Linked DNA regions of Drosophila melanogaster. The protein of the gene in region 1 interacts with the protein of each later gene in a pairwise test. Each region holds a gene or a part of one and is shown in the gene's direction. Other genes may lie near its edges.

What was found.
Region 2: the proteins of CG16711 (region 1) and CG4619 interact in a two-hybrid assay, tested with the Drosophila melanogaster proteins (one large-scale study listed by BioGRID).

What each region holds. Positions count from the first base shown.
Region 1 is NT_037436.4:9,699,770-9,713,311, forward strand, and holds CG16711 (uncharacterized protein), read left to right. Parts: upstream 1-4,561; 5' UTR 4,562-5,001; coding exon 5,002-8,699; intron 8,700-8,768; coding exon 8,769-8,832; coding exon of another isoform or gene 8,833-9,564; 3' UTR 9,565-10,560; downstream 10,561-13,542. Other genes in the region: CG6761 (uncharacterized protein), read right to left, coding at 932-1,283, 1,345-1,570, 1,624-1,861, 1,922-2,861, 2,913-3,826; SH3PX1 (SH3 and PX domain containing 1), read right to left, coding at 10,959-11,250, 11,731-12,383, 13,164-13,542.
Region 2 is NT_033779.5:9,934,423-9,946,411, forward strand, and holds CG4619 (uncharacterized protein), read left to right. Parts: upstream 1-4,440; 5' UTR 4,441-4,541; coding exon 4,542-6,146; intron 6,147-6,206; coding exon 6,207-6,314; 3' UTR 6,315-6,494; coding exon of another isoform or gene 6,495-6,636; 3' UTR 6,637-6,696; coding exon of another isoform or gene 6,697-7,058; 3' UTR 7,059-7,116; coding exon of another isoform or gene 7,117-7,217; 3' UTR 7,218-7,277; coding exon of another isoform or gene 7,278-7,688; 3' UTR 7,689-7,746; coding exon of another isoform or gene 7,747-7,985; 3' UTR 7,986-8,052; coding exon of another isoform or gene 8,053-8,198; 3' UTR 8,199-8,258; coding exon of another isoform or gene 8,259-8,395; 3' UTR 8,396-8,460; coding exon of another isoform or gene 8,461-8,631; 3' UTR 8,632-8,636; downstream 8,637-11,989. Other genes in the region: Arglu1 (arginine and glutamate rich 1), read right to left, coding at 834-1,001, 1,064-1,147, 2,816-3,088, 3,236-3,583; CG5853 (uncharacterized protein), read right to left, coding at 6,495-6,636, 6,697-7,058, 7,117-7,217, 7,278-7,688, 7,747-7,985, 8,053-8,198, 8,259-8,395, 8,461-8,631 and 1 more.

The sequences.
Region 1 (13,542 bases):
TGGCAGCACCAAGAACACCGGCCAACTTCAGCATCAATCCTTCAGAACGGCAATCACGCTAAATTCTTGTACACTCACGCACCAATATATTTTCGTAAATCTTATCCACGAAATTACATTGCCCTGTAGTTATAATAATTCTCTGATCTGTTCTATAATTTTATTATGATTAATGTGCACATCTTTGCCGCTGGGTGGGTCACCAGAAGGTTGAGCCAAAGGCCATGCCCGCGCCCCATTGAGCATGTGGTGTTATGTAATTGAACCCAGGTTCTGTTTCATTAATTTACGTGCAGTCGCATTTACTTGCAGGCTCTTTCTTAAACAGTACTGTTGTTTTCCATTTCAAGCTTAAACTAAAACACAAACAAAAATGATTTACAAAACAAAATAAATGTGAAGGCGAGGAGTGTATAACAAATCGAAGTCTTTGTAAATTGCGTTAAGTTAATAAATAAATAAATAAAAATATTAATAAATGTCTAATGAGAAGTTATGATTTCGGTTTGTGAAGAAGAGGCTGCAAACTTAAAATAGATTTTTGTAAATCATGCCTAGACTGAAGAATGGAAAATGTAATTTACCCTAGATTGATTGAGATATGTAATGTATATTACTATAATTCTTGTTTAATCCATTTTTTAAGGCTCTGTCTAATGCCAAAATTGAAATAAAATCCAAATTCTTGGTGATTTACAAACCAAATAATTGCACAAAACGTGAAAGTAAAATAGAACCCATCGATATCATCCAGATATAATCATTTATATATATATTCTTCTACATATTCATTTAATTTTTCTACATTTCAATGTGAATATTTATGGTTTGCACTAAATATTTGACTAATAATCTGTCACTAAATATTTGGTCTACGATGCTTGCTGGCGAATCCAATAAGTTAATGACTTCACACATATAATACGAATTTCTACTTGTGCTTTTGCTTGGACATGACGGACACGGAGGAGCCACCAGTTGCAAGTGCGGATCCCAGGCAGCTGCTGTTGCTTTGAGCCACGGATGTGCCAGTGGCATTGGTTCCCTGGATCGTGTGATGGCTGTGACGTTGCTTGAGCATCTCCTTCCATTCGGACTCGAGTCGCACGTAGGAGCCACCAAGCGGTTGGGCATTCTGCACCAGACACTGATCCGTTCCGGTCTTTTTGGTCACATAATTGGCGACCTGTTTCATGATCTTCTCCTCGAAGTCGCGCTGATGATCCTGGTTGCTGCGCGCTGACAACTCGCCGGACCAAAAACGACCCGACACATCGGTGGGACTGGCCAAACAGTTCCAGGTAATTATTATTTCATATACATTCAATATTTCAAAATCCTTACCGCTTTCGTGATTTTTTGCCTCTAGTTTTCCTTGGTGGAGGACGATGCTCCGACTCGCAGCCATCGCTACTCGTACTGTAGTCCTCGTCGTCATCGTGAACGTTACGCATGCGTGGCCGCAGGCATCGAGCATCATCCTCGCTGGTGGACGTCGTCTCCGAATCGGTGCTGGTGTCCATTTGATAGCGAGATCCTCGCATCCGACGGCTCACACGATGGTTGGTCACTATGGAGCAGGGTTGAGTACGGAGCACATTACCTTCAAGCACACATACCCACCTCTCTTGAGCACACTGTCCATGCAGAGTTGGGGCAAAAGTCCCTGGCGACATCTTTGTGGCGTTAGGGAGATACCCTGCCAACTGGGACTGATCTCGCCGGCGGCGGCCAATTCCTGAATCCTCAATGGTGGCTGCTCGCACAAGGCGTAGTTCTCGCCCACCAACTGAGCAATGGCCAGGATGGCACGCTCCCTATCCGTCTCCACCAGGACACTGTGCTCGCGAAATTGGCAGCCCTAAAAAAGTAACGAATATTCAATGCAGTAGTATTAGTTTCTGGAAATATATATACATACATTTGGTCCCGGCAGCGTTTCGTAGCGGAATGCCTGCTGACCGCAGCAGGAGAAGCGGCCGGCGGGTCCAGCATTGCCCACGGGACCGAGGAAGTTGGGTGCCTCCGGATGGAAGCGACACCAGTGCATCTGATAGACCGGAAAATGAGCCTCGCACGAGCAGCAGTACAGGTAATGGCAGTGACCCCATAACTTCCAGTACACCTTGCGCCAAGACTTGAGCTCCTTGAAGAGCTGAACGATGTAGACATTAAGATCCCAGTTCGTGTCCCGCACGTGGTGGCTCATCAATTGGCCCCAGCGATTCAGTCGAATGTTGCTGGGCACACAGCTCACATAGGATTTCATAGTGTTGGTCACGCAATTGAAGCACCTGGAGCAACGGAACAGACCGGACATGCTGTAGAAGTGTCCCCTTAGCGCTTCCGGATCCGGTTCGCAGAGGGACTGAATCAATTTGGTCCACAGACGTGGTGTCACTCGCTCCTTTTTATCCCTGACCATTTCCAGCTCGAGATTCGTGAACATGGCCGCCAGTCGGCTGACCAATGCATCATTCAGACAGGACAGATTCGTGGATGTTCGTACAACTTCGCTGAGATGGGCATGACAAAAGGCCAAACACTCAAGGAGTAGAGGTTCCATCTGCAGAAAGCTGGCCGACACCAGAATGGGCACCACATTGTTGCCATCCAACTGGGGACCGGTGCTCTGAGTGGGAACCGGAAGATCCTGGCTTTGGGCACTGTGCTTGATCCACTTCATCAGCCAATCGAAGATAAGGATGTCGCAGTGCACCGATATGTCCATCTCCTCCAATCTCTGACCGGCAGTCACGTCCGCAAAGTAACCCATTTTGGTCACCAGCAAATGCTGCGGGCAGGTGAAGTCCTTCGAGGTGTTCTTCACCTCGTCGCAGACGTGGATCACCACTTCCGGCCTGTTAAACAATTTGAGTTACATATATATCCTGTAAATACATGGTACTTACTCCTTTCGCTCCTGCCTGGCATGTTTGCTATCCTTGACCAGCAGCAGAGATTTGCGTCTGCCGGCGTTCATTGCACCAGGCTTCGGAATCGGCTCCTTAATCATAGCCCGCACCATGCTGTTGGTGATCTGATCCGAATGTAGAGCATCTCCTCCGGGATGAGCCTGCTGCAGGCAAGGAGCCGAGGGAGTGGCTGCCGGCAGAGGCCCATGTGAGTGGCCTATCTCCATCATGGATTTCGATGCTCCCGAGGTGAGAGGAGCTGCCGCTGGAATGGGATTCGTATAGGGAGTGGTAGTGGCCGATGTCTGGGTGAGAAGCTCTTTCGGAGGCTGCAGCTGCTTGGGCTTAGTTTTGCCATTCTGGAGTTGTGTGGGCATTGGGACCGGGCATATAAAGGACAGAACAGAGTCCAGAACTCCCTCATTAATGGCCGCATCCAGTTGCTCGCCAAGCTTGGGATGCAATCCCCGATAGGTCGACTCTGGACGGGAAGAGCGGCCGTGGTGGCTGTGCCCCGAGCGCAATGTACTGGATTTCGCATCCTGTAGCAAACTAGAGCGACTCTCGTTGGAGCTCCTCGAGGGTCGTCGCAGTCCCAGGAGCTCGTTGACCAGTGGATTGTCCGCCAGTTCGGCAAAGTCGAACTCGTCCTTCTTGGTAGCTCTCTTGGTTGACACCGCACTGCCCTCCATCGGCGGTATCGGCTCCCTATTGTGTGGTTTTCCCATGTCGGCTTTCGTAATCATATCGTTCACATGACAGGATAGTTTTAGAAACTCTAGAAACTCGTTCAAAGTGATTTGAAACTCGGCGCCATTGCCGGAATCAATGGATTTCTGGGAGGGAGCCGCTGGTGTCTCCTCCGGCTGTCCAGCAGCCGAGGCTCCCTCGTCGGAGCCGGATTTCTGCATCCTGGCCAATGCAAAAATCAAAGGATATTGGCCATTATTGATTGATTGTTTCGTTGCTCGTAGTAACAAGGAAGTTACTAAAATGAAAAGCGGAAAAAACAATGCAACTGGTGACCCCAATTGATTTTTCAAGCTGTCCAGGAATTTAAGATTACCTGCACATTTAATAAATTGATTATTTTTCCTAAATATTACTTATTCGAGACATATTTCATTTTAAAGAAATGCAACATTATAAGTGGAATTTGGGATATAATAAAGAATAAAACAACAAACTATATATATTATAAAATCAATTTAAGGTCTTGTAACTTAAATTTTTTTTTACTTTTTAAAAAATTAACAAACTTGGTTATTTTTTGTTGTTTGAATTTTCTTCTACGACTACAAGCTTAACAATTTACCGTTAAACAAATATCAGTGTTGTACAGCCCAGATTGGCAAGTCGGGCGGGAAAGTAATAAGATATTTGTTTTTGTAATTAAAAAACACATATTTCTTTTTTAAGTTTTTTTTTAATTGTTCTTCTATATATTCGTTTAAACTACATTTTAGTAATTTTAAATTTAAGTCATATTAACATATTCAGCATTCTTTAAATTTAAATTAAAATTTACAAAACTGCGTATTTCGAAAAATTTTAAAAATATGACCGTTATTACTATCGGTATTTGGGGAAATTTCCGACTGCAGCCCCAATTTTCGATTACGCTCATACGATTACCGTCATTAAGCGCTGGCGATTGTTTAGAAAACTATATCGAAATATCGAAAGCAAACCAAAACATATACATACAAAAATTCATTGATTTTGTCAACGTAAAACACACAGTGTAGCAGGGCAGTTAATTCTGAATGCGGTTAAATAGCACGGTCAACTGAATTAGAAACGCTGGAGCGGCACAAGTGCGGCGGCAATGCGAACGGACTGAAGATAGAAGCCCCAAAGCGAAGGCTTTTACCTGGGCCGCTGTCCAATCAGAACGCTGCTCCCAATCAGAACTGGGCAGGGGGCGGGGGAGGCGAGAGCGAAAAATCCGGATACGGGGGGCAGTAGCAAAAGGCCAAAAAAGAAAAAAAAACGAGCGACGAGTGTGGACTAGCCAGCGATGATGGGAAAATGACCAGGGATCTGAGAGTACGGATCACGGACCACTAGCGGATACGGCCGTAAAATGCCCCGGAACACTTGCAGGCCAAGTGAATGCGCTGCTGCTAGCCAGGATGAGCCGGAGGCGAGTGCGAATAACAACAATAATCACAGCAACAACAACAACAATAACGAGGGCATCATCAAGCAGGAACTGGAGGCCGCTCCGCCGGTTTGCCACCGAAAATCGGAGCGCCGGAGAGTGGCCCGTGATATATTCCTGGTCTTCGAGGAGCAGACCACCCGGCGACGAGGGAAGGGAGCACGGGGCAAGGCCACAAGGGCAAAGCAAAAGTTCGGACACCTGAAGGTGGCCAATACGCCGCGCATCAATAAGAATGTGCTGCGCGACATTAAAACGGAACCAAAGTGCAGCTCGGAAGCCGTTGTGCCGGCTGCTGCCCCAGCTATCACACCCATTCCCGCACTGAATCCCCCAATTCCTCCGCAAATAGCCGCGCTCAATCCTCCGTTGCCGGAGGAGCCGACGTTAGCCAAATCCTTGCCGCGAACGGCGGCCGTAAAATTGGAAACCAAAACGCACGTCACATCCACAGCCACTGCATCCAATGTGGCGGCACCCAAGCGAATTAGTCCCAAGCCCAAGGCTCCATCTGTTCAGGAGAAGGAAAAGGAGGTGGTGTCAGCGGTCACTCCTGCTTCTCTACCAATACCCAAGCCCGCTGCCGCACCCGCCACTTCGCCCACGACGCCCAGCGTCAATCCGATCTTCCTGTGGGTCAAACAGGACGATACCCGCATCGTGGAGGTGCGCTGCGAGGACTACGACAAGCGGAATAGGATTCGTCTGACCAAGACGACCAATGGCTGGCGATCTATGCCGCGCACAGATGCTTCCTCAACTAGGATAGTCAAATTCTTCCATGGCTCCGCCGCCCCACTGATGAAGGTCAAGCGCGAGCAGCATCTGCAGCGTTTGGAGGAGGAGGAGCAACAGCACCAGGAGCAGGAGTTGCAACAGGCGGAGGATCATGAGCGAGAGCAGGAGCAGTCGGAGCAGCAGATGCCCTCCATCGGGCAAACTTTGTTGCAGGATTGGGATGATAGTGCCACGCAATTGCCGGACGAGATCGAAGAGCAGGAGGAGGAGGAAGAGGGACAGGAAAGTGATGCTGCGCAGCAGCAGAACGGCCACTTAGCCACTGTACTCGAAGATGTTGTGGTGATGCCACCTGCCAAAGAGCCGGAGATGGCGCCCACGCCCTGCTTCGATGGGCTGCTTGACAGCGAGGAGACGAATGCCTCCACCAAGGCCACCAAGACCAATACGCCCACATATCAGAGCTCCACACCCTCGCCGCTGCAAATGCAGCTGTGTCCCAAGACGGGTCTGTTTCTGCCGAAAGGAGATCTTGCCCTGGTTCAGCTGCCTGAGGAGGATGTCCTGCCCGAGGAGGCGGAGGACAAGCCACTGGGTGGAAACGATGCCGTGGAGTGTTTCGATGCGAATACTAAGAATCTGAAGGATCTGCTGGACGATGCCGATGATCTGCTACAGAATTGTAGCAGTGAAAACGGCAGCAGTGGAGCGGATTTGCTCGACTCGCTGGTCAAGCGAAGTTGCGAGGACAATCTCGTCCAGGAGACGCGCCCTGGCAACGGAACCAATCCGCCGAACTCCTCAGCCTCCGGCGACGGACTGAGCTCGTTTTGTGTACCCGATCTCGACAAGGACCTGCCCCGCATACTCAACATGGACAACGACGATGCGCCCAAGTGTCTGTCCTTCAATGAGGCGGGTGAGATCGAGGGCCTGAACGGAGAGCTCTTCCTGGGCATCGAGGCGTTCGAGAAGCAGCATGAAGCTGTGGCCACCGAGCCGGAACCACAACCGCCCACTCCAGCCACTGTGGAAATGACCCAAACGCCTACGCCGACACCAACGCCTGAAAAGGAAATGGAAAAATCCGTCGTAGTCGAGGAGACGCCCAAGGATTTGAGCTACAAGAAACGCGAGGAGGTCTGCCCACCATCAGAATCGCGTAGTCAATGTGCGGTGACCTCAAGTTCGGATATACTCAAGTCACCGGAGCGGGAACTCCAGCTGCCGGCCAACTCCATACCTGCTGAGGTGGAGACGACGTCGGAAACCATTAAAAATCTCATCCTGGAGCAGTTCCTCAAGCTTAACAACAATCCCCAACAGGCAGAGCCCATGGATCTGGGCAAAGCTGGCCGCGATGGCAAACTCGAAACGGTCGTTATCGACGACGAGGAGGAGGAGGATTCCAGCCAGCCGCTGAAGAAGCGACCCAAGGCCAGCATTAAGATGGACAAGGATCCGGATCCACTTACCCAACTGAAAATGCTGATCAGCAATCCGCAGTGGAAGGTCCCAGACCCCATACTCGTGCCAAAGGATCGCCTCGGAGCAGTTTTAGCCTCACCGGCCCGAGAGATTCCATTGCTGCTGACAACCAGGCCGGAGTTGCGTCTTCCCGAGGCCTTTGCCTATCCGGAGATCATCCAGAATCCGAACATTCTGGTAGTGACCATGGAGCAGTTGGAGGCCATCCTCAAAACGGAATCGGAGCATGCGGCCAAGGTGACAAAAGACCCGGATCCAGTGATCGTGGTGCCAAGCAAAGCGAGAAGTCCCAGTCCCAAGCAGATACAACCCAAACCTGTGCCTGTTCAACCCAAACCGCCTGCAGTTGCCCCAGTGGCACCAACACCACCATCTCCGGCAGATTCCAGTCTCTCCACGGATCTGAATGCAACCACACTGGCGCTACTCCAACAGATGCTGTGGCTACCATATTTTGGCCAGTTGTCGCAGGAGTTCTTCAAAACGATCAAAGATCCGCTGGGACTACAAAGAAAGTTTATGAGCAATCTCCTGCCGCTGTACAACAACCAATTTGGATTGCAGCATCTGGACGAGCTGTACAAGCATTGTATGAAACAAAAGTCGACGGAAGAGCAGCCACAGCCCAAGGTTACCACTCCCGTGCCGCCTCCTGCAGCAGCTCCGCCTCCACCTCTTCCTCAAAGTACAGCCAGCGGACCAAATTCCTTTAATGGCTTCACCAATCCCGTAGAGCTGGCTCTCATGCAAAAGCTGCTGCAGCCGCAATTGCCACAGTTCCTCAACTGGGAGGCGGCCAAGGAGGCATCATCCACATCATCGGCAGCTGCCACCTCAAATCATCATCATCATCAGGAGCACAAGCGACCCAGAAGGGATACAGAAACGGAGTCCATTAGCAATTTCACCAAATCCAAGCCTTCATCCGGTGCTCCAACTACAACAGCTGCTCCACCACCAGCCGCCGCTGCGCCTGTGCCGGTGGCCACCGCTGCGCCTCCGGCACCAGCTCCTGCGGAGCACAAACCCAGACTGACCATTAAATCCCTCTCGAATCTGCTGGAACCGGAGGCTAACGTGGTTCCACTTCTCAATGTGCCCTTTGACGGAATGCGAGGGCGTCCCTCCATGCACAAGGCCGTTCCAGATCAGGCCAAGGGTGACGCAGGTACGGGACGCACACTACGCTCCAGTAAAGCCTGCGTCACCTATAATCCCCTCGAGCAGGCCAAGCAGCAAATGCACCCAGCCGCCGCCGCACAGCAGCAGCGCAAGCGGGGCAATATGCTCGCCCAGGACGTGCAGCAGCAACAGCACCAGCAAAATCTTGCAGATGCGGCGGCAGCAGCCGGCATGGATGCCAACTCGGCACTGTGGCATCCTCTCTTCGGAAGGTGAGTGATGTTCCTAACCTAATCATCTTTCCCATCTGTTCAAATTAATCCACATCCGTTCCCTTTCAGCAATCCCAAACAAGGCTACAATAGTCCATGGCAGTGGACCACGGTGACGGCATCAGGTGAATGACAGTCAAGCCGGGCTCAAAAGGAGCCAGCACCTGGATCGGGAACAAGGACGGCCAGCTATGAGGAGCAGCATCAGCAGCAGGACTACAGCAACTATCACGCCTCGGCCAAGCAACAGCAGCAACAGCAACCACAACTTCCAGCAGCCAACAATCAAAACCACAGCAACAATAGTAGCAATAAATTTTGTTATCCAACGGCAGCGGCCATGGAGAATATGTTCCAGAACAATCAGATGGCGGCCGCTGCCGCCGCACGCGAATCCCTGCTGAATTCATATCTTTATCAAAAGGATAGCGATGCCGGCAATTATATGGCGGAGCAGAGCTACTGGCAACAGCACCAGCAACATCACCACCAACAGCAGCAGCAGCAGCAGCATCAACAACAACAGCAGCAGCAACATCAACAGCAGCAACATCAGCAGCAGCAGCAACACCAACAACAGCAACACCAACAGCAGCAACAGCAACAGAAGCAGCTCCAGCAGCAGCAGCAGCAGCATCAATGGAGCGCCAACAACGGCAGCAGCAACCAAAGGAGCAACAATTATGCCAACAACTATGCGGCGGCAGCCGCTGCCTCCATGTACATGCAACACTTCAATCCCTACATGCAACAGAAGGCGGCGCTGCTGGCGGAGAAGGCTGCCCAAGCGGCGGCGGCGGCTGCAGCGGTCCAGAGCAGTAACGGTAGCAATAAGCACGGACGCTTCGGCGGTGACTACGGCTAGGAGTCGTCCGGTGGGTTCACGGTTCAGCTAACCGAAGCGCAAGACACTTTAGCGCATAAACATAAACATATAGGCATATGTAACACTTGCGTGTAATAATAACTATATATTTAGAGGCATCGTATAGGCCGTTTTACCGCCAGGAATTGGTAAAGGATAAACCATGATTTTCCTTTAGTTTAATACACAGGAACAGCAACAACAAGGTAACCGGAACGCAAACAACAATAATTTATAAACAACAAACAAGGTGGTAAACACAAGCAGAGAGCAGTAAACATAAAAAAAAACTTAAATTGAATTAGTAAAAATTTGTTATTGGTAGTTTGTTAACAAAAAAGAAAAACACAAAAAATATGAAAAGAAAACAAAGAGGAAAAAACAAAAAAAAAACACGACAAGTAAACAAAAAATAATGTAGAGCGCGAAAGCGGAAGGCAAAAGCAAAAAAAAACCTAATTATTGTATTATTGTTAACCAAAATCTATTATTATTATTATTATCTCAAGCTGCGTTATATTATTATTATTATTATTAACTCGTGTGTCTGTATATAGCGTTTTTATCTAGATGTATTACACTTAGTGATCCCCCCACAACCCGATTCCCATCCCTGGAAACCCACATCCGACTATCCTCCAAAAATGCCAGGACAATCCTTGGACCCTTCACCTTCACCTATGACCTCGCCAAAAATCAAACGAAAACAAAGCGCAGCGCTAAAAGGCAAACAACCGATTTTGTATCCATTCCGAAATGTGTTTCTTTTTGTTTTTACTAGTTATTACGCTGATTATTTATGAAATCATCATCCCTAACATGTGCAATCTAACACTTATGTTCTAGATACAAAAAAAAAAAACAAAAAAACCAAACAAACACAAGAATCACAAAACTTATTAACGCGAAAATGGCAAAGCAAAAGCATGAACATGAAAATGGAAAAATAAAGAGAACCCTTTTAGAGAATTTCGCTGATAAAGGCAACAGAATAGCAAATCGCCACCGAGACTTTTAATTCAGCGGGTTTGGTTGGATCATCCAAATATGATGATTATGATGCAGATGATGCACTTGCACAAGTGGTTCTGTATAAATATAGTTATATTTGCATCTCAAGTTCAGTGTATAATAGGCATATAAAAGTTAATTTCTGTATAAATACGCAACTTTTCACTTACAAACAACATTATGTAATATTTTTTCTGTTTAACATTTAGTTAGAACCACGCTTAAAGTAAGAGTTCCTTTCGAAGGCATTTGAAATGCGCGCGTGCGAATGTTTTCAGCTATGTATCTCTGTGTGGAAGTGTGTGCCCGGTGCGGTTTCTTTGTGCTCCCAGCCGTCGATCTCTTCAGCGATGAGTCGTCGTCGCCATGGGCCAAGGGCCAATCTACTCAATCTGACGGCTGGCCTCCTGCAGGCGCGCCACCACGCCCTGGTAAAACTTAATCTGTTCGGCAATGAAATTCTTAAGCGTATGCTTCAAATGCGTATCCCGCTCGCTCTTGAAGTGGGTCAGCTCGGCCAGCACCGTGTAGGAGACGACATCTGTGCGCCGGTTAACGTCGTGCAACTGGGGATTATTCATCCTGCCCTCGCCGGCCAATTTCTCGCAGTCCTTTCGCTTCTGTATGGCACCCTTGTGCGTGGAGAAGATGTCCGGAAAGCAGTTGAGAACGCCCCTATTTGGAAAAGTGAAAGTAAGAATTAGATAATGCTTCTAGATCGTTCTATAAACAAATAGCGACGGAAAGTTACCACATTCTCTAGAAGTTATATATATATTATACATATGTATATCTATGTATATATTTCTTGTTAAACTAAAGGTCAGTCAGCGTAAGAACCACAATAATCTAAAATAAACTATTGGCCAACAATCGATTTTTCTCGCGAAACTATACATTGATTCATTGCTTAAAAGTAAACAATTTGAGTTCTTTATAAATAAACTTGATACCTTAAAAACAATTTACAAGAAAGTAATCTATCGAAAATTTTTAATTGTGAGTAATTCAGCCATATATGTATGTGCCTATTGTAACTTCTAGTATAGAAATGACACATGTCGTGGAATTCCCATTTTCAGTCAGCTAATCAATTACTGATGAATGAAACGAAATGTGCTATGCTTCCCATCACTTATAGAGACGTCAACCCACCTGTAGATGTGAAGTCGATCCGAGAGGGGAATCCAATCATGCTTTGGCTGGTCGCCAAAGGCCTGTCCAATACCGATAAAGATGCCACCGATGCGGCCGACGCTCTCGGAGAGCGGAACCGCGTTTCGGGTGGGCGCACGCCGCTCATCGATGGCCAATGCCTTGGCCAGGTCGGAGAGTCCGTCGCCAATGCGCTGGAACTCCTTTTTACTCTGCGACATGGAGCGCTTGGCCATGTCGTTGGATATATTGTTCAGGTTGCGTACTGCCACGTCCATGCTGTGTATGAACTGGGTGCCCAGCTCCACCTGTGCGTCCACCTTAGAGTGCAGCAGGTTCTTGTCCGGCGGCGAGATGGCCAGGCAGTAGTTGACGCCCATGTAGGGATCCCGTTCCGCCTTGCGTTTGCCCGACTTCCAGATCTTCTCGTCGCGGCAAGTGAGGAAATGGTACCAGACCTCGCATTTGGAGATCACCGGATGGCGGCACACCCAGTCGACGAACTCCTGCAGCTGCACACGTCGATGCTCCACGAATTGCTCCTCATAGCGGCCGGAGATCTGCTTGTCCGGCAGCGGTGGCACCGGAATCAGGCAAAACTTGTCCACCAAACGTTCGTGCAGCCAGTCGAAGTGCTTGTAGCGACGTGACACCTAACGAAAGGGAAACCCAGATTAGATATGACCAATTAATTGTGATTGGGTCACGCAAAGAGGAGCCCGGAGCTCGGGGGGTCAGAGCTCGTTGCTGAGTCATTCCCCGTGGCGGTTCGCAAGCACAAGCAATCATCGCAGTGCCGCTGGCTACCAGTTGGTCAGAATTGCCCCCACAAAGAAGAATTTTAAGTGCTTTTACGACTCTGTAATGCTCTACCTATTTGTATGTGTATTTTAATGGACTGAAAGAACTTTACAAAGAGCTTTGATTTCAGTTCGAAAGTAATGTCGAGCATTTATGCTTCTCATTATTGTAATGAATAAAGTTGATCGAAATTATCAAAATACTATTTAAGTAGCTAATAAGAAATGAACTATAGCTTTGAATAGTATTAAAACTTTAACAAATAAAAAGATAAATTTAGCCAATTTTCAGAGTCTTAATAAAACAAACCAATTAAAGAAATGGATATGATCTCCATTTAAATTTTCTCAGCAAAAAAGGGTCACTTTTAAGGTCAACTCAGTTGGAAAATGTTGGCCGGCAATTAGTGCGGAGTTTCGATAAACAAAGGATTGGTCTTTCTTTATTCCATTCCATCTGCTCGTGAGCACATGAACCAGCCCAAATTACCCTTGGCAGAGGGTAGCGAACACAGCACAGACACATATTATCAACAAAATATTGCACCCGTAGTTACACACTCATGCGCCAACGGTCGGAGCTTTATCGTATTGTGTTGTTAATCACGGCGATATCAGGGTTGGCCAACTTACGGATATGTTGTTGAAGCTAGGCGTCAGTTGGTAGGCAATGAACGTCTTCATCCCCTTGAATTTGGACTCCTTTTTGGGACTGGCCACCACAACGGAGTAGGGCGAATGGTTCTGCGTCCACTGGTAGATCGAGTCCTCCACCTGTGTAATGTAGGCCATCTCGCATTCGGGTATCTTCTCCTTGGTGCTGGACAAGCCGAGTATATATGAATCGGAACTTTTGGCGAACATGCCCTTTTTGACGGTGCCAGCAGCACCAGTCCCACCAGCCACGGAGGCCAGTGATTGGGTATCATCGTTGGGCGCGATGGGCAGGTGTTTGTTATCGTAGTCACTGGTGGAATGCGACAATCCGCCAGCGCGAGCCGACTGTCCCGCA
Region 2 (11,989 bases), on another chromosome or scaffold:
CCAGTTCCATGCTACGCGCGGGCGTGCCGGCTGTCGCCCGCTGTCCAGCGTCGCCCAACCCAATCAGCAACAAGAGACATATAAATTGAAGTAGTCTCTATAAATAATAAGTTGTGTCTACTTAGCGACATGTACACTGGCTTAGATCGTGTCCGATACCAAAGGGGATCGGGGGATTCGGTGGAGGATGGAGGAGCTGAAAAGCGCACGTATGTTTTGGCAAAACTGTCAAATTTACTAAGCGAATGGTGCTTAATTCGCTCGCTAATGCACTTGTAGCTCTTGCATTGCAAATCTGAAACACTTAAGCTTATACAGATTATATATAATAATATTCAACTTTTGGCATTTCTAAAGTTTTTTATTATCGATTTCAGCTGATTTCTATGTTTTCTTGAAATATCAAAAAATTGCAAATAGATTACATATGTATTTCACTGACATCTTTTTGGTTTTCTTTTTTTTTTTTTCTTCTTTTTTGTTAATCGTTCAGCTGTGACAACAATACGACGCACTACACATAATCATTTGTCTCACATATGAATTCTTTATGTAGAAAAGGTTAAGTAAATCGCTAGCGTATTGTACTATATAGAGCCGTATGTGTTCAGTAATTGGCAATTTTGAAAACGTTGAATCTATTGGCTGTGCTTTGCCTGCTCTCAGCACCACAGCTCGTCCTTAAAATAATAAAAATAATATAGAACACAATTACAACAATGAAAACGAGTGCATGGTCTGTGTCGCAGGCAAATAGCCACTGAGGTAAAAAAAAAAGCAAAAGCTGTTAACAAGAAAAGGTGCGACGGTCACCAGACTGATGCCTACGCTCCTCATAATGCGCCCGGTTTCAGGGAGAACGATAGCTTGGGCCTGGAATTGTTTTTGCCTAATATGACCTTCTGCTCTTCCTTGACGCGCTTCTCCTGCTCCTTGCGCATGCGTTGCCGCTCCTCGTCCATAAGGCGCTGCTCCTCGATTATTGCTAACCGTTCTTCGGCCTAAAGAAAAAAGAAATCAATTATGATCATAATAATATGGTTTGTTTGCTATGAATTCTTACCAGTTTTCTTTGCGCCTCTTCGATTTTGCGATTGTTTTCGGCCAAAATTTCTTCGAGCTCTTCGCGTTTTTGTTTTTCATCCTCCTATAAAACCCAAACAAGAAGACGATTAATAACAAAAATCGATCCTTTAGCGAGAAGCTTAATGCTAATTATAGAAATAAACAGTCTCTTGACATCAGCGATGCAAACTGTGCGACGAATTCGACGCACGTTTGTGGTTGCAGTTTTTTGCTTGATGAGCTGCAAAGGCAGTTAAAATCTAGTTTTATGTTTAACAATAAGTTACAAAGAATATTTTCGGTAGAAAGTAAAACATTTAGTAGTGTCTAATAAGAATGTTTAAAGTAGGTTGTTCTTTTAGTTTATTACAATAAAGGAGCACACAACATAAACAAATGTACTAGTATTTGCTAAATGGTTGGTCTTCATTTGGTTTTTTTTTTTTTTTATTGTTGCTACTTACTATTTAAATAGGTCATTATTCCAGTAAATAGGCTAAATTTGTGTTAATTTATGGTTTTCTTTTTTTTTTTTTTTGCAGATTTTCGATTTGGGATTATTTTTGTGGAGTTTTTCGCTATTCCAGACGTACATATGTAATTTGCTCGCAAAAACAAAAAGCTTAAACACAAATAAGTGGCAATCCAATGCGTATCCGGTTTCAAAAATTCTTACAGACAGAGTTCTATAGAGCTAAACCCTGGGGGGAGTCTTTGAGTCTTTGGGTCTGTGCGCCGTCCTTTCTCGCCTGTTATCCTTACGGCTGCTGGGCAACATCACACATCGCTGGCGTAGGAAACTCACCCGTTATCAAAAGTGGCAGTGATTTGATTTGCATGCAGCGTACTGTTGGGACTAAACTCAGTCGGCCCGCCCACAACTAGAGTGCCTAACTACCCGGACTAACTTAGGGACACCATACCACTTCGCTGGGCTTTGGTATTTCTTTGATTCTTTTGATATTTATTGTTTGGTGTGGAGGAAATGCGTCCGTGGACCAATCGCTCGGCAGCAGGCTTGCTCAACTTCCGGCATGGCGGCACAACGTGGAGTGCACGCGAGTGTTTTGCGGGTAAGGATCACAAAACAGCCACACACACCCACTTGCATACGGGACAAGAGCAGCACGTTCGTTGCACGGGCCTACTGAAGCGGAATTTGCGCGCAATAACAACAACAACGAGTTACGAGAACCAATACCAAAAAAATTAAAATGATACAGTATGTGGGTAGGAACGAACAAAAGATGAAGCTAAGAGTATGCAATAAGTCTGCAATAATGGGCATCAAAACTTTGACACATGCGACACTTGGCAATGTCGTCATTTTGGCTTTTTTGGTAGGAAAAATAAAAAGTTACAAAATTATTGGCAAGAAGAAAAAAAGGGGCAAAACGAGCCGTGGCGTTCTCATCTCGGCTCACAGCATTTAGCTTGCTGCATCATGTGGGGAGGGCTCTGAAAAGTTGCGACTGGTTAGTGATGTACCCGGTTAGTGGGCGCCCTTGGCCCAGGGTTATGCAAGCAATCTAGTACGGGGAGGCTGCTGATGGGACATGGGTTGATGGATGAACAGCCAGTGAGCCGCGACTGAGAGCGCCGCCGGATCGATTTCGCGTGACGTGGTGGAGACGACTGTTTGAACTGCTGTTTTGGATTTATTCAAGTGTACGGTAAATGTGGCATTGTGTACGTGTTTCTGACAGTGATAGCAGCAGTCGTCCAGCGGAATCTGAATACGAGCACCTACCTCGCGCCGGCGTTCTTCTTCGCGTATCTGCTCTCGCCGCCGCTCCAGCTCCAGCATCATTTCGCGCTCCATCTCAGCCTTGGCGGTCTCAACGCGTCGATTGACCTCCTGTTCGATTTCGTCGCGACGCTTTTCTAGCTCCTCCTCGACGCGCTTTTTTACCAGCATCTCTATGCGCTTGGCGGCTTCCTCTTCGATTGTCTTTTGCTCGAGCTCCTTCGCCCGACGCTGCCGCTCCATCTCGGCCAGGCGTTCGACCTGCATCTGGTTTTGCTGTAATGGTAGATCATAGTTTAGTTGCTTTCATCGAAACAGTTGTATCATAAGCGCAGCATGAGTGTCCATCCCGGAAAAATGCGTGTATGGAATGCGTACCCATGGAGTGCTCAAGATGACAGACTATGGACACTATCCACTTACCTCATCCAGCTTCTTAAAGCGGCTGCGCTTCTGTTTGCTACGTTGCGACTCCTGCTCGGAGTACTGACTGTCGCTGCTCGACGAGCTGGAGCGTTTTCGGGATTTCAGGATCGAGGGGGAGTGACGGTAGTCGCGCTCAGTGTGTCGGTCGCTGCGGTGTCTATCCCGCTCGCGGTCCCTGTCCCGTTCGCGATGTCGTCCATGGTTGTTCACCTCCGAGGACTTGTCTCTATCCGTTCTTGTGCTGGGCCGCTCGTGGTCGTGGTGGGACTTACTGCGTTTTTTGTGCTTGCTCTTATGGTGGCGTCGCTTGCCCGACGGACTGGGTGTACGTGAACGGGAGCCCATGGTGCTGGATTGTGTGATTGTATAAGATTTCGAGCTAGTCGAAGGGCTTAACTTGGCTGCCACAACAAATCAATGAGAGCGAATTTAATTTCTCGAGCAATTTTCACAGATGCCTTAAAACAGTGTGCACAACGTTGGCATACTGGCCTGACATAATTCTGGTATTTTTTTTGATACGGTATTTTCTGTGCTTTTTTTATTTTAATTTCTGTGTTGCCCAACATTAGACCGGCAATTGTTTTCAGTTCACATTGGTTTGTTTTGATCTAAAATCATTTGGTGGAACTTGTCGATCATGACTTGGTTATCCTTAAAGCCGACGCACTGCTTGGCCTCCTCCTTGGGCAGCCACTTGAGGTCGGTGTGCTCCTCGGAGAGAATGGGCTCCTGGCAGGGATTCCGCAGCTCCGCTAGCCAGTAAATAACAATCTTCGGCTTGTCTTGCACCTGATAATTCAGGGTCAGCGGAGTGTCCTTGTATATGATCAGATCCTTCTCGTCGTACCTATGAGAGCATTTTTGAAATTAAGCATGTTTTAAAAGATATATCGTTGTGCACTTTCCCGGCTTCCTCTTTCGTTTCTCGCAGGGCAGTGGTAAAATCATCCTCGCCTGGGTCCACATGTCCCTTGGGAGAACTCCAGTGGAAGGAGCCGTAGGAAGCCTTCAGCAATAGGTATTGTATTTCCCCACAAAGGCGGCGAAAAATAACAAAACCAGCTGCCTTTTCCATGTTGTTGCTATCAATTAACCGAAACAGGTGTTTGAACAGTGCTCGAAAGTCTCCAATAACAGTGGTGCTTTTCTAGCTGTTTCCCTCTTTTGCTTATTAGTAGTTCACTTCGTGTGAGAGGAAATTAGTCAGTGTTGAAAAGCGAATGCAGATTTAACGTATGCTTGCGGACTTGCACGTTGTTTTGTAAATTCATTACATAAATTGAGAAGAAGTGCATCCGATATGTACGCCCTGCTTCGCCGCTTTGCCGGCGTCACCAACTTGGGATGTCCCATCAGAACCTACGCCTCCCTTACGCCCAGAGATGTATTGCGGAGCAGCGATGAGACCGGCACACTGCTGACCCGCTTCGCCAAGCACATTGCACTGGAGCGCTACAGGGATTCGGATCACGTGTTGCCCAAGACGACGGTCCGGTACTCTGACTTCTTTCCCATCACGGACGACCGGTACTTTCAGCGGACGGTAGAGAAAACGGATGCAGCCCAATTGCCCGCCCTGATCATCCAGGCATCCAGCTATCGCTCCAATGCCGCTGTACCCATGTATGTGACTGCGCTTAACACGTTGGATAACCATGCGGCTAAACAGCTGGACAAGATGGATACCGCCACAGTGCTCGAGACGCTCTACTCCTTTCTATTCCTCATACCAAGTTGGATAAAGCGATTGGATTTTTACCAAGCAGCCATGCAACGACTGGTCAGGGAGGATTTTCGCGGCAACAAGGAGCGATTCGTTCAGGTGTGCTTCTATATGGGATTGCAAAAGAAGCAGGCCAAATCTTCTGAGGAATTCCAGCAACTCCTGGAAGAGCATCTACAAACGCATTTGCCTGAACTAAATGAAATGGACCTTGCCGTGGTCAGCAATGCGGCGTACAAAACCTCAACTTTGGTAACCGGTGAGGCGAAAACGGCATACGAAGCAAGACTCGTTAATGCCATATTAAATCTGGAGATAAACACCGGAAGCGATGCCTTGCTGGTCTCCTTTGTCAAGGCATTGCGTCTGCAGCAAGTCAAAGATGAACGAGTGTGCCAGCACCTGCAAGATATCTGTCTGGATCCTGTAAAGATAACCCATATTGAACCCCGAGGACTTGCCCATATCTTTGCATTCTTTGCCGAGCAGCTTTGGGATCAGAATGAATGCCTAACTGTCGTCGTAAAACGACTCATGACTCTTCTCAAGCCTGGAGACCTGCGCTCCAAAGACTTGGCCACATTCCTGTGGGCCAGCGCTCAACTCAATTGTGCATTGACTCCTGAGGAAATCAGACAATTGGAACTGACCGCCCTGCGCAAGCTGGATCATGGGGAGTACGAATATTTCCCTGACAACCTTGTTGACACCTGCCTCTCTCTGTGCACTTTGGGTCACTACTCTAAGGATCTGATTAATGCAGCTGAAGAACTAAAAGCTGCCCAAAAACGCCAGCGAGCCCAACCCAAGGTGGATAGTCGTTTAATTGTGCTGCGATCTGCTGTGGCCATTGAGCAGCCTTCAATTGCTAAAGTTAAAACAGAACGAGCTTTTAAAGAGTTTGATGGAGCACCAGCTTATTTGCTAAAAGATCGCCCAGACTTGACGAAATACGCCCAGGAGCTGAGTGGCGACGCGGATGTGGAGGGCGTGGATGTGGTGTGTCCCATTGTCGGAATAAATTTGCCAAGCTTACGAGTGCAGACAATGGGTGCCCAGGAGAGTGTGTACTTTGTTGAACTGCTAACCGCAGAACAGACTCTGAAATTCAGCAAGAAACCGACTTCATTAATACGTCTTAAGAAAAGACTTTTGGAATCCCTTGGCCGAAAAGTTGTAGTAGTAAGCATTATAGAGAGTTGAAACTATATAAACACAGTTTAACACATCGTTTTGTTTCAGCTAAACTCAACAGAAATGGCCACCAATGCAAAGGAACTCCGCCAGCTCCTAGAACCGGCAGCAAATGCAGGAGAAGAATCCAAGGTTGCCCAAGGCGTGGGCAACTGAATTGTGTGATATAATATGGGGCCATATCGGCCTTCTAGGCTAGTTACAAATCGTAGCTTTATTTAACAGTGTTTTATGTACTTGTACATATTATTTAAATATTAATAGCACTAAACATAATGGTCAACAATTAATGTATAATACAAGGAATGGGCTACAGGTGTGTCTCCCCCAGCTGTCCTATCGGATCGACTTGATCTTGGCCTTCAGCACCACGTAGGACACAAATCGGAAAACCAGGATCATGACTCCCAGCGCGATCACATCGTTCCAGAACTGATCACCCCTCATGGTGATTTCCTCTAAGAATTTCTTTGGATACCTATAAACACAAAGCAGAGTTAGCGCTTGAGAAAAAGAAAAGTTAGCAGAATCTAATTACCTGTAATGGCAGTACGGCGCCTCCTCGCAGGCCAAGGTACCTCGATCCAAGCCATAAATGGCTGATATGAAGCCCTCAAGTCCATATCTTAAGTATGATATGTGACTGCCCCACCTTAAGTAGCTTGGCAGATCACGCAGGGTCACTCCAAAGCCGGCGAACATCATCATGGGAATCGTTAGCACTGGGGCCAAGAACGTTCCATTCACCACATCGAACCAGGCACCAATCATCAAACCAAAACTATGTCCCACAAAGACGGTCAGTAAACTAATGGAGAAGAACATAAAGAATCTGATCCACTCCATCGGCTGATAACTCCAAAGGTAAACGATGACAGTGAAGAAGAAACAACTTATGATCTGTAACCAAAAGGGTCAGTTAAAAATTGAAAATGGGATATTAAAGATCGCTACGCACAGATATGGGCAGGTCCACGAGTGTCATGGCAGTGTAGTAGGCTTTGAGTGAGTACCAGCGATTGAAGTGCTCCTTGATCAATATGGAGATGTCCATGGGGACTGGTCAAATGATATTCAAATAAGTTAATATGTCTACGCAATCGACTCAAGTGAGCTTACAAGTCAGAACAGTCAACATCATCGTGGTCATGGAATGGTGCATCAGTATGGCAAACAGAAGATTGTAGTTGTCGAGCACTCGTGATCCTTCACGTCCCGTGTGATCGTACATAGCTCCGAACAGAGCGGCCACTGCTATGTTGACTCCGATCCTCAAGTGCGTCATGGTCGTGTCTCGTTTGGCTTTGATGAAACCTCGTCGCAAAAGCACAGAGCACTGGTTTGAGTAGCTGGTGTCCTCCAGGGATCGGCTTTTGGTTTTCTTTGGTATGGGATACTTTCTCATCAAGACCTCAGCGCGCAACACCGCACTGGGATTATGGAACCAAGTCAGGCAGCTTCCGTTCTCAGTGGCGAGCTTAAGGGTGTCGACCTTGTCGTATCCATACTCTCCGCAAGCGAGCTCGATAACTGGAGCAATAAGGATTGTATTAGTGTAAATTCACTCAGAGATCTGTGCTGGACTCACTGTAATCCGCTGGATTGTGGTACATCGGACAGGGCAGATCCACCGACTGCAGGAACGGCACCAATTTCTGGGTGCTGCCCTGGTAGACGCAGTTGCCAGCGGACAGGACGTAGACCTGATCGAAGATCTGGAACAACTTGGCCGTCGGCTGATGGATGGTGCAAATAATGGTGCGTCCTTGGCTGGTCAACTTCTTGAGCAGCTCCAGGACCTTTGTGCACGAGCTACTGTCCAAGCCACTGAAAGAAAGAAAAGCAAGATGTAAACATTCCTCAGTTTGTTAAAAATGGATATATTGGCTCATACGTTGTGGGCTCGTCCAGGAACATCACAGTGGGATTATTGATCAACTCCATGGCAATGGATAGCCTCTTCTTCTGACCACCGGACAGGCGCATTGTAAGGGTCTGATCGTGATTGTACAGACCAAGGAGCAGCAGAATGTCCTCGATCTGCAAGGGTAAATCCGCGATTTATGACTATGATCTTTAAGTGAAGATCACCCCACTCACCCTGCTCTCCTTCTCCTCGTAGCTGACTGTCTGACCCAGTTTAAGATCGGCGGCTATATGCATATTCTCGTTTACCGTCAGCAGCGGCTGCAGACGATCATCCTGGGTGATGTAGCAGGACATCCGACGGAAGGAAGCTGCAGGGAGGGATTACCATGAATTCTGGATATATTGAATAAATTAAGTGAGGTCATATACTAACGCAAATCACGTCGCCGACCATTGAGCAAGATGGAGCCATCCACTCCGGTCGTCTTGAAACCTGAAAGGGCATCTAGCAAAGTGGACTTTCCTGCACCCGAAGGTCCCATGATGGCAATCAGCTGGCTGCCTGGGAACTTTCCGCACACATTGTGCAAGATTTCCTTGGATCCTAAGAAATTGCGAAATTACTTAAATGCCATCGTAAAATATGATCATAAAAACTTAATAGACATTCAGTGTGTTTTTTTTTTATACGGTCGTCGGTATCAAGGTTCAGGGAACCAATGGAGAACCCATGAGTACGCGTACGAGCGACGATATTCATGAATCATCTGCAGGCTATAACTTGGCTGAATTAAACGGCTATTGAGGTAAGATCTCGAGTAAATCTACATTAATCCACTTCAGTGAATAACCTGTTAACTACACAACTCGAAAACAATTCAAATCAGTAAACAATTCTAGGTGATATACGTATCAAGCCATAGAAAAGAGTTGCAAATATAGGGAAAAAGGGTTTAGCTTAATTAACTCAATCTTTCACAGTAATCGTATTGTTATGTTAGCAATATTACACATTTTAGCACTTCTAGTCACCAATTTAACATTCCGATAGCAATGGCCATATATCCACCTACCGAAAGGTTGATTAATTAATTACCGCCACGGGTTGAAAATTTGTGCAGTTCTAATCAAGTTACCAGGGGCTAAACAATGTCGATATCTTTTGAACTTTGAAATTAGCAAAATGTTCTAAAGCCAAACCCATCATATCGAATTACAAATGCTCTACTAACTATCGTATTGGCAAGTTATTTCTTATCATTTTATGGACTCGACGGAAAGGGAATTTATGAATGACTAACTGGCATTGAATATATACAACCGGGAAGGGGGTGTGATCGGAATAAGCGGAGTGATCGGCTCTTATCTAATCAATGGAAAACCAAGTTGGTTAAAGAACTAGCAAGCAAGTGTTTGGCAAGTGATTGGTATGTGGAGGCACTGCCGAAAAGAATAACCTTGTAGTAAACTTTGTTCGGATGTAATTATCTTATGGCACTCGTACTTAAGAAACATTTGAAATATAGTATCTGAAGGATTTGCTTTATCTGAGTATATCTGTATCCCTTAGAATACTATTAATGAAAAGACTTTCTAGCATATGTTTTATCTTCTATTATAACAGTAGTTTTGTCTAGTCATAATTTAGATATTATTTATGAGACTATATTGGTAGGATATAAAGAATTGAAGGTCATTCCCGTTCAAAGAGTAGCCGCTGATCGTAAAACATATATAAATGCCCAGCTAATTTTAAGTTCTCCGCTGCCCCAATCTTATCGAGCCATATCTTAGATCATGCGATCGCAATGGTTAGTTAGCGACAACTCGCTTCTTGTAGCTCACCTCGATTGAAGCCCAATTTGACGGTGAGGGACAGCTCCTTGAACTCCATGTCCACAGGCTCGCGAGCTGGCAGATTATTGAGGGCATCGGTGTCGAAGTGCACCTCCTCCTCCACGACAGGTTCCAGTGGCGGCTGCTTGCTGGGCTCATTCCCATTGGTATAGTTCACCTGTGGCGGTGTGGGTATGGGTGGTGGCGTAACACTGGACTGGGCATTCCGCCATCCGCCACTGTTGCCAACTGGCACTGTGGTGCTGTTATAGACGCGACTGGAGGTCACCTCCCCGATCTCGATGCCCAGACCGAGGCCGGCCACTCCGTTGTCGCTGCCGAACAAGAACTGCTCGCGCGGTGTCGCCATTCTGGGATTCTAGGATAGCCTGTCAACTGTAATATAATAAAAATATATATTTCGGATTCACTGAAAGTTTTCTATTACATCCTAAAAGCTTAACTCTATATGAAACTCTTCTCTTGATGATTAGCCAGTTGGATCTTTGTCTGCAGATTTGATGGATTGTGCAAGGTGCGTGGCTAAAAGTGGGAATCAGTTGGCAACCAGTTGCTAGCCGATACAAAATATTTAGCTTAGCTTATTGAAACGGGTTCCACGCCAGCTGAATGTGCACTTTGATCGAAAGCTGGGGGAGATCGATCAACCTTTGTCGTCTAACCCCGTCATATTCACATGGATTATTCACGATTGCACGGTGAGATTGTTAATTTTAAAGGGCATGTAAAGGGAGGAGGATCGATGGGGATAGCAACTAATCCAGCGTAGATGATGCTTCCGATTAACCAAAGACATGGTGTCGAATTGGATGGATGTCGAAACCATGCAATTATCATCCACCGTTCGCATTAAGTGCCAGTTTACATAAGCGAAATGTAGCACGCAGTTTACTCCACATTTCGCACTGCTGCAAAAGACAATTAAATGCGAGTACATTTAATGCACAGATTTGCGAAAAGATCAAGGTACAATTGCTCAGACGGAGGCGGAGGCAAACAATAAAGCGGCACAATTGAGTGGAAATGGAATGATGGAATGGCGATGGTGAGAGTGCCGTCGTATATGCACATCTGCCATTGATCCGTCCATCCAAGCGATCCACTCGATTCTCTAGATCCGATCCCATCCCATCTGATCCGATCCGATCCGAGCTGATCAAAACAAAAGCATTGTTCCAAGCGGCGAGTTAACAACAAATGTAATAAATGCAATAAATGTAGCTGCAGCTACATATTGATGGGCTACAGCTTATCAAAGTGGGATTGAAATGAAAATTGTTTAAATCAATTATTCATAATTAACTGTGTGGATGCAATCCTTTTGCTTGGAAAGTAGATCCAGATATGGCATGGCTGTAGTTACACCAATGTATAGATTGTATCTTATAGGTTGCGAATCTGCGCTTCTGAAAGTTCATATTATAATCAATCTTATACCTGTGACGAATGTCTAAATAATATAGCCCGAGCAGTCTTATCAGGAGCTGGGCAAATTCCTCGACCGGGAGATTTCCCTTTCCGTTTTCGAGTAGTTGGGAAAGGTAGGGGCTTCGCCAGTGGGAACTGCTCCGCAGCCATGCACCTAATTAAGTTATAACACAGTTACCTATGGTCAATGCCCCATATTTCCCGATGATGACCTGGATGTCACGAAGGGAGTGACATTGATGGCTCTTAATCGGCTGGCTGTACATCATTATTGACTGATGCCGGAGTAGATCCCACCGTGGTCACGTTTTGCCGGGCTTGCTATTTTCTTGGACTCCTTTGTTCGAGCCCGGCTTTACATTTCGTGTTTGCCTGCGACTTTCGGAGACTTAGATCGGCCTTTAACACCACAGCACTTATGTGCACACATCACACATACGTACATATGTATACCATGTATATCATTTGTGTGCTGATGCTGCGTTGAAACATTGTTTTGTATAGCTTGTATACCTTGCAAACCGGTTCACCGGATCCCCTTCTCCGCCAGATTTTATGCGGCAGTGCAGCTGGGAGGAGATGGAAACGAAAGCAGCAGCTGTTTGATTCAAGATCGGAATATCGGGGTAATGGGGAAACGGGAGCAAATCCCTACCGATTCAAACCCATTCGATGAC